2 linked regions of the Xenopus tropicalis genome follow. The protein of the gene in region 2 purifies or fractionates together with the protein of the main gene of each other region. This does not show direct contact. Links are inferred from orthologs where the notes say so. Each region holds a gene or a part of one and is shown on either strand. Other genes may lie near its edges.

Region 1 (3,993 bases), on a different chromosome or scaffold from region 2:
GAACAGCCCCCTAAGTTTGCCCATAGCCTGTACAGAGAGATACCTTAAAACTATGGCAGCATAGGGATTCCCCTGTACTAAGCCCAATTCAGCAGGAACAGCCCCCTAAGTTTGCCCATAGCCTGTACAGAGAGATACCGTAAAACTATGGCAGCATAGGGATCCCCCTGTACTAAGCCCAATTCAGCAGGAACAGCCCCCTAAGTTTGCTCATAGCCTGTACAGAGAGATACCATAAAACTATGGCACATAGGGATTCCCCTGTACTAAGCACAATTCAGCAGGAACAGCCCCCTAAGTTTGCCCATAGCCTGTACAGAGAGATACCGTAAAACTATGGCACATAGGGATTCCCCTGTACTAAGCACAATTCAGCAGGAACAGCCCCCTAAGTTTGCCCATAGCCTGTACAGAGAGATACCGTAAAACTATGGCACATAGGGATTCCCCTGTACCAAGCACAATTCAGCAGGAACAGACCCCTAAGTTTGCCCATAGCCTGTACAGAGAGATACCATAAAACTATGGCAGCATAAGGATTCCCCTATACTGAGCACAATTCAGCAGGAACAGTCCCCTAAGTTTGCTCATAGCCTGTACAGAGAGATACCATAAAACTATGGCAGCATAGGGATTCCCCTGTACTAAGCCCCCCTAAGTTTGCTCATAGCCTGTACAGAGAGATACCATAAAACTATGGCAGCATAGGGATTCCCCTGTACTAAGCACAATTCAGCAGGAACAGCCCCCTAAGTTTGCTCATAGCCTGTACAGAGAGATACCATAAAACTATGGCACATAGGGATTCCCCTGTACTAAGCACAATTCAGCAGGAACAGCCCCCTAAGTTTGCTCATAGCCTGTACAGAGAGATACCATAAAACTATGGCAGCATAGGGATTCCCCTGTACTAAGCCCAACATTTTTAGGTGCTATATAGTGATTAAAAGATGACCATTTCCATATTGTGTGTGGGAATTATAACATGTACGTGCCCCTAGTGGCACATAAGCACTTACATTGCTCTTCCTTGGTGTAATAGTACTCTTTATTAATGGTGATCTTTTCTTCGTTAATCTGAGAAAGCAGCTCAAACGAGTTCATCACCTCAATGTTTCTGCCCTCCTGCTTCCCGATTAGGGCTCCGATAACTGTGGGTGGGAGAGGGAAGGGGGGTCAGTAAGTGGGTGAAGCCTCAGGATCCATAGGAAGAAATGAGAGGAAGGGATAGTGGCACATTACCCTGCACCGGGCGCCCCTCCTGGGATCTCATGCGTATCCAGTGATCGGAGATGTTCAAGATGACGAGGGGATGGAGCGCAACTGTCACGCTGCCAGTTACCCCCTGCGCCATGACAGTGGGGAAGGCTAGGAAAGAAACGACAAAATGTTCAATAACAGTTCTAGTAAAAAAAATACATAGGGGAAGTTTGTACAATAATATCAAAAAAAGCTACCTTCTATACTGTGGGCATTTATCATATTCTACACATTTAATGCTGCTTTCCTAGTACAGAAAGTTCCGAATTAGGGAAAGGCCATCTTCTATAGACTCCATTTTAATAAAAGAATTCACATTTTTGAAAATGATTCTCTTTTCTCTGTAATAATAAAACAGTACCTGTACTTGATCCCAACTAAGATATAATTACCCCTTATTGGGGCAGAACAGCCCTATTGGGTTTATTTCATGGTTAAATGATTCCCTTTTCTCTGTAATAATAAAACAGTACCTGTACTTGATCCCAACTAAGATATAATTACCCCTTATTGGGGCAGAACAGCCCTATTGGGTTTATTTAATGGTTAAATGATTCCCTTTTCTCTGTAATAATAAAACAGTACCTGTACTTGATCCCAACTAAGATATAATTACCCCTTATTGGGGCAGAACAGCCCTATTGGGTTTATTTAATGGTTAAATGATTCCCTTTTCTCTGTAATAATAAAACAGTACCTGTACTTGATCCCAACTAAGATATAATTACCCCTTATTGGAGCCAAAACAATCCTATTGGGTTTATTTAAATTATTTTTTAATAGACTTAACGTAGGAGATCCAAATTACGGAAAGACCCCTTATCCAGAAAACCCCAGGTCCTGAGCATTCTGGATAATGGGTCCTATACCTATAAGATATTGTTACATTTGTTTTGGACCAGCTATGGTCACTCTTTTCTCCTCATAAAGTGACAGGTCTGGCTCATATTACCAGTGAATAGTTAAACAAACAGTATCTGCCCTCAGGTGTTTTCTCTGACAGAGCAGAAGGCTTTGCCCTTTGGGCAGCCATGTTTGGCCCTGGCAGAAATACAGCCAGACTGTAATACACAGGGAAGCATGTAATAGTTCAGTCATTATTTTGGTTACACATGATTTTCCTGTCACAACTCAAAGTCTGTATTTATGTGAATACTCCCAAGAAGCCATGTTGTTCCCTCACACACATAAAGCTTCACTTCAGCGCTTCACGTTACTGCGCGCCTGTTTCCATTGATTGACGTTTGGCACAGCCAATGGCGCTGCGCCACTCATTTCCTCCTTATCCGGACAACCAGTCCACACGCTATACAGGCAAGCCCGCATCCAATGGAGACCTATAGGCTTCACTGTAACGATTTCAGCGTAAAGCCGGTGTCTTCCTGTGTATTTTCATAAACTCCATATGAGAGCGAACTGTTTTGCTCCTGCTGCATTTTGCAATAGCCAAGCGCTTTACATACTCACCGGCGACGTCCACCTCCATCCCGCTGCCGTTCGAAGCAGCAGCCGCCGCCATCTTGCTCCACCCTGCACTGTGGCTCTTTACTAAGCTTGCGCATTTCCCAAGGTGCCTTTCGGTTATCATGTGATAGCCTGGCTTCCTAAACATGTCAGTCACACAAGGGGGTCTGTGGCAATGTTGGCTATAGGGCTTAAAGGGATTGTGTCATGATATTTATGGGGAACTTTTTATTTATTAAATGACACTGTTACACAGCAAATAATTCCCTCTGCCATTTAACCTTTTATTCTTGAACCAACAAATGTATTTGTAGCTGTAATATTGGTGTGTAGGCGCCATCTCAGTGCATTGTGCCTGAGTCTGAGCTTTCAGCCAGCGCTACACATTAGAACTGCTTTCAGCTAACCTATTGTTTCTCCTACTCCCATGTAACTGGAGGAGTCCCAAGCCGGACTTGGATTTCTTACTATTTAGTGCTATTCTGATACCTACTGGGAGCTGCTATCTTGCTCCCTTCCCATTGTTCTGCTGATTGGCTGCTGGGGGTGAGGGGGGGGTATCACTCCAACTTGCAGCGCAGCAGTAAAGTGTGCCTGAGTCTGAGCTTTCAGAAGGAGCAAGTGCTACACATTAGAACTACTTTCAGCTAACCTATTGTTTCTCCTACTCCCATGTAACTGGAGGAGTCCCAAGCCGGACTTGGATTTCTTACTATTGAGTGCTATTCTGATACCTACTGGGAGCTGCTATCTTGCTCCCTTCCCATTGTTCTGCTGATTGGCTGCTGGGGGTGAGGGGGGGGTGGTATCACTCCAACTTGCAGCACAGCAGTAAAGTGTGAGTGAAGTTTATCAGAGCACAGGTCACATGGCTGTGGTACCCTGGGAAATGAAGAATATGGCTAGCCCCATGGGAAAAACAGATTACAATGCAGGATTCTGCTCTATTAACTGATGGGTTTTGTAACAAACATGTTTTCCCATGTCAGTGTTCTTTTAAATTAAGCCTAGACCTTATACAAAAATTCAGTCTCTCCCGGGGGATATATGGTAAATGCTAACTAGTGACTTGCCGTTTCATGGAGATAGTAAGTTATGTATAAACAACCCCCTCCCACAGTTTGTTGTGTCTGTCGAACAGATACGCTGATGGGTAATCTGTTCCCCCGTGCTCTAATGAACTACTTTTTTCCTCCCAAAAGTGCTCGCAAGAACCAGGAAGTTGGAAGCTGAAATTAGTTACAAAAAAAACATGGATTTTTTTTTTCC
Region 2 (5,111 bases):
AGCTTTTAAAACACACTGCCCTAGAGTTGATTGCCATTGTAGCTTTCTACCACTGTGCTTTCCCAGGTAAAAGGTCTTAAAAATCTCCTGTAGTTTCACCATCTAAAGAAATAATGCACAGAGGAAACAACATTAGTTTCATTTAAATAAACTCCAGCTGGAAACCAACATGTCTGTATTCTGCTCCTGGAGCTATCAGGAGGCACCGGTCTGCAATACATGGATATCCTATATATTATATTTTTATTCTAGATTGTCCCTCTCACTGGTTTGTTCAGAAGCAACTTGAGCTCCTGAAATTTATTTGTCATGTTGATGTACTTAAACAGGACATAGTGAAACATCTCAGTTGCAGAGGACATGGACAGAAAAGATTTTTTTTTAATGAACACTAAGGAAATTACATCTGGTGGTTGATCATCCAACTCTTGAGAGTGGAATAACAATGGTTTTATAAGGAGGTTATTTAGGTATGTTAATGGGTTCTTGGACTGGGACTATCCTTTAATGTTGATGAAGACTGGATAATGAGTGGCTTATTGGTTCTAAAAACAAAAAGAACGTAACTCAAAATAAATAGGGTTAAAATAAAAAGGGATACGGTCATGATTTTTATTTCTAAATTACACTGCTTACATAGCAAATAATTCACTCTACCATTTAAACTTTTATTCTTGAACCAACAAATGTATTTTCGTTAGCTGTAATATTGGTGTGTAGGCGATATCTCAGTGCATTGTGCCGGAGTCTGAGCTTTCAGAAGGAGCCAGCGCTACACATTAGAACTGCTTTCAGCTAACCTATTGTTTCTCCTACTCCCATGTCACTGGAGGAGTCCCAACCCAGACTTGGATTTCTTACTATTGAGTGCTATTCCGATATCTACTGGGAGCTGCTATCTTGCTCCCTTCCCATTGTTCTGCTGATCGGCTGCTGGGGTGGGGGGGGGGCTGATATCACTCCAACTTGTAGCTCAGCAGTAAAATGTGACTGAAGTTTATCACACAAGTCACATGGCTGTGGCACCCTGGGAAATTAAGAGTATGGCTAGCCATAAAAAAAAAAAATAATAATCTGTTTTTGAAAAACAGATTTCAATGCAGGATTCTGCTGGAGAAGCTCTGTTAACGGATATGTTTTTTTTTTTTTTCAAAACACGTTTTACCATGACAGTATTCCTTTAAGATGCTGGGAGAAAAACTAAAAGGGACAGTAGGAAACTGTATGAGGAGTGTTACATAGGGTATATAGAGACCAGGTGGTTGCATATTACAAGCTTATGTAACATTCAGGTTAACTGTAAATATTAACCTTTGGATAAACAAGTTAATATAATTCAGTTATAGGACAATATTTAAAAAATGTGAAATGAGTTGTTCAATGGCAAGCAATATTACTGCTCACAAAATGAGTACACGGTATATGTCTAGATACCCTTACCTCTGGTGGTAGATGAACTTCCATAGGCACATATGTTGGCCAGTACCCCATTGTTAGAATATTTACTGTAAGCTCAATGTTGCCAGGGACATTCTGGTTCTGCATGTACTGAAGGAAGGGGGGGGGGGGGGGGGGGCGGGAGGAAACAAAAAAAAACAACACATTTATCATTTTTTCTAGCGATTAAACTTCTTCTGTGCTTTGATACTGCCACATGCATTGCTATGTGTATGTAAACATGGAAAAATGGCACAAACACTGTAAATCCTGTCAAAACATTTCCAATAAGAATAAAATGTCCAATTGCACAAATAAGTAGTAACACTAAAAAGCATAGCCACCAATGAAAGATGTTTACATGGGCCTTGGGCCAGCAGTTTTCCCATAAATGCAAGAGGCTAAGAGTGTCTATGAAGATTTTCATTCATCCAGGTCATGGTATATCTAGTATAAATAAATTTAAAGCAACTGGACTTGTTTAGTAATCATTGAAGACGTTTCACTACTCATCCGAGCAGCTTCTTCAGTTCAAATGACTGGTATGGGAAGTCATTTGAACTGAAGAAGCTGCTCGGATGAGTAGTGAAACGTCTTCAATGATTACTTAACAAGTCCAGTTGCTTTAAATTTATTTATACAAGAGGCTAAGAGGCTTAAAAAAAAAATCATTCTAATACTACTTTTGCCAGTCCCCTTGGTAGAATACCTACAGCAGAGGTGGGCCAGAGGAAACAACTACTGTTACCAGATATTTAATACTAATATGGAAGTTCTTTGCAGATCTAATCACGTATAGACCCAGTCAAGTAGTTAGGGGTTACTGCAACTAGGCAAACTTAGTGCTCAATATTATATAGATAAATTACAGTGTTATCCAGAAAATGTATGTCTATTGGGATGTAGGTCTATAAAAGGTAACAAAGAGCAAGTTAATAAGGTCTATAAGCAGTCTATGTAAAAACATATATTCTAAGTGATGTTGCATCAATAAAATATATTAGTCAGCAGATACACCTCCTTGCCATGGCACTAGTGAGGTCAACACCCTAAATACTTATGTAGACTAAATGTGTCTGGAGACTAGTATTTTTTTTGTCCTGTCATTCTACCCACCCCAGGCCCAGAATAATACAGTGTGCTTTTTTTTGTTTAGGAAGCTTAAGCTCCACTGAGACAGGGACTGATGTAAATGATGCATTATGAGTGTAAAGCACTGTGGAATATGCAGGCACTCTATAAAATATAATAATAATCATGTACCTGCTTAAAGTGAACCATTATGTCTTTAGACAGCTCCATGTCTTTAAACATTCCTTCAAGTTTGCTGGTAAATGCAGCTCCGCATTCTGTAAAGGAGATACTATATATTTAATATAATTACATACACACAGACACTACACTGGAAAATGATAGGAAAAATACTTATCGAGCAATATTTCATGCTTACCATGCTTCAATTTGGAAAGCATAGATTTTTCAGCATCTACCGATGCACTTTTACCAACTAGCAGCCTCTTTGCCAAATCTTTCTTGTAGAAGGCCTCAAATACATCCTTTCCTAAAAAAAAATTTTTTTTTACCAACTCTATTTGGCAATATAAATACAATACAATTTGTAAAAACATTAGAAGTACATTATTTCTAATTTAAACACACCCATATCCTATCAATGCCTTAAAGGCCCAATAACACCAGGGAATGCAAGTAGTCTAACGGCCCATTCACAAAAGCACAAATTTTTTCCCAGAATGTCCATGATAATATCGTTAAAATTACTTCCACGAAAAAGTCATATTTTTTCTCAAAGGCTACGACCATTTCGGAATTCAAGCTTTGGTATTGTGACTATCTTTTGGCCAGGTTGGATCTGTAGAGTGCCATTGATCCCTATGGAAGGCTTCCAAAATCATACATTGAAGTTTAAAAGCCAGAAAGGTTTTCGCGCTTTTTACAATCGTTCAGATCTGAAAATTGTGACTTTCGGATCGCAACCACAATATTTTGGTACGACCGAGAAAAGAATTTTCGTACATCAGAAATTCTTGTGGTTACTCAGAATCTTTTCCAATCATGCTTTTAACCAGCAAAAATGTGTTTAACGAATGGGCCCCTAAGAGTACTGGGAGAAAAACTGCTTTATTGTGCATTATTTCTAGAAAGCATGATATATGCACTTGAACTTTTTGGAAGCAGTTCATGAATATGCATGATCTAAGGCTCCACTGCACATGACAGAAAGGTGGGGCCTCATTTAGATAAAGATGGACAAAGAAATCAGAGCTGATAACACACTGGCTGCAACAAATGAAGATTTTAACATATAGGATAAAAACAACCAAGATGCCAGGTTCTTATTAATTCTCAATTTTGGTGGTGTTAAGATGTTGATAACTGTGCCTTAACTTATACATTGAGCCCATAGCACAGAAAGAAATTGCCAGCGCTCAATCTAACCCGCACTGTAGCGCTGACCAGCTGCTAGAAACACTCTTGTGCCAGCGCTCGGTCTAACCCACATTCTGGAGTTGACCAGCTGCTAGAAACGATAAAAAGCCATTATTTATACACAAAAAGAAAGATTGCCAGCGCTTAGTTTGCCTTTAAAAATAATAAAAAAAAAAAAAAAATTCTTATTAAGCCCATAGCATTTGTTGTAAATGGCAGAAAGGCTGCTTTATTAAAAGGCTAACGTATTTTCTCTATAGCTTAAGAATATTCGTAACCTGGAAAACCCCCTCCCCCCCCCTATAAATTTGGTTCCAACTCTACTTGGCACAAGCTCATAAGACAGTGAACTACTTGATACAGAAAGGGTATGCTTATTTTTTATTATCCCATGCATATCACATTTGTTAAATGAGTATTGCTTACTTAGAGGTTGGTATACATGTGTTAAACTTACAATAAAATAAATAAATAAATAATTTTGGTTCCACATACCATAAATGAACCTAAAAATGATCATAATTTTATCCAACATCTTCTCAAGTTCTTCGTCCGTGGCTTCTTTGTTCCCAGTCCGAAGTTTAGAATCAACATATTTTGCTAAAATACAGAAGATGATAAAATCATCATACCTTGCTCAAAGTTTAGGTTCTGTCATATGAAATACTACATCCATGAGGAAGTGGTTATGTGGTTTTAAAGGGTGGTTTACCATTATTACAGCTTTGAAATATAAATAGATACACTCATTTAAATCCTATTTGCAATTTGGTTTAGTTGAAAAAAGGTAATGCTGCATAGATCTCTAGGTCTCTCTTCTCTGCCCAAGCCAGGGGGGTTCACGACACCCTGGCTGTGTAAGATTCTGTCCATGTCATTCCGACCTTACAAGCAGTGTAGTAAAGGAGCTGATTGCTACTGCAGATGCTCAATTAATTTGCATATCGGAAATCTGATTGGCTGGTGTGATTCGGCCAATCGGAACAATGAAGGTGCAGGCACAGTAGTGAGCACTGCCTGCCCCTTCCTGGAATATGAGCCCTCTGGCTGGCACAGCAACAAGACTTTATGCAGCACAAACTTTACAGGTAGCCATTTTGAAAAATTTTCCTTTTTTTTTCTTTTAATTAAAGCAAATATGATTTAAATGACCGTATCAATTTGTATATTTCCAACCTCTAATAACAGTAAACAACCCTTTTAAAGATAAACATTACTTTGCAACA

What was found. The genes of interacting proteins can lie anywhere in the genome.
Region 1: the proteins of cul4b (region 2) and cops6 purify together in Homo sapiens (affinity purification with mass spectrometry; 8 studies listed by BioGRID and IntAct, counting the BioPlex papers as one, with this or other methods). This does not show direct contact. The link is inferred for Xenopus tropicalis from reciprocal best matches to the Homo sapiens genes CUL4B and COPS6.

What each region holds. Positions count from the first base shown.
Region 1 is NC_030679.2:144,242,134-144,246,126, forward strand, and holds the start of cops6 (COP9 signalosome complex subunit 6), read right to left. Parts: upstream 2,801-3,993; 5' UTR 2,780-2,800; coding exon 2,728-2,779; intron 2,460-2,727; exon of another isoform or gene 2,373-2,459; intron 1,369-2,372; coding exon 1,243-1,368; intron 1,152-1,242; coding exon 1,020-1,151; intron 1-1,019. UniProt on the Homo sapiens protein: Component of the COP9 signalosome complex (CSN), a complex involved in various cellular and developmental processes.
Region 2 is NC_030684.2:46,066,035-46,071,145, forward strand, and holds part of cul4b (cullin-4B), read right to left. Parts: intron 4,486-5,111; coding exon 4,381-4,485; intron 2,999-4,380; coding exon 2,888-2,998; intron 2,787-2,887; coding exon 2,701-2,786; intron 1,549-2,700; coding exon 1,441-1,548; intron 103-1,440; coding exon 1-102.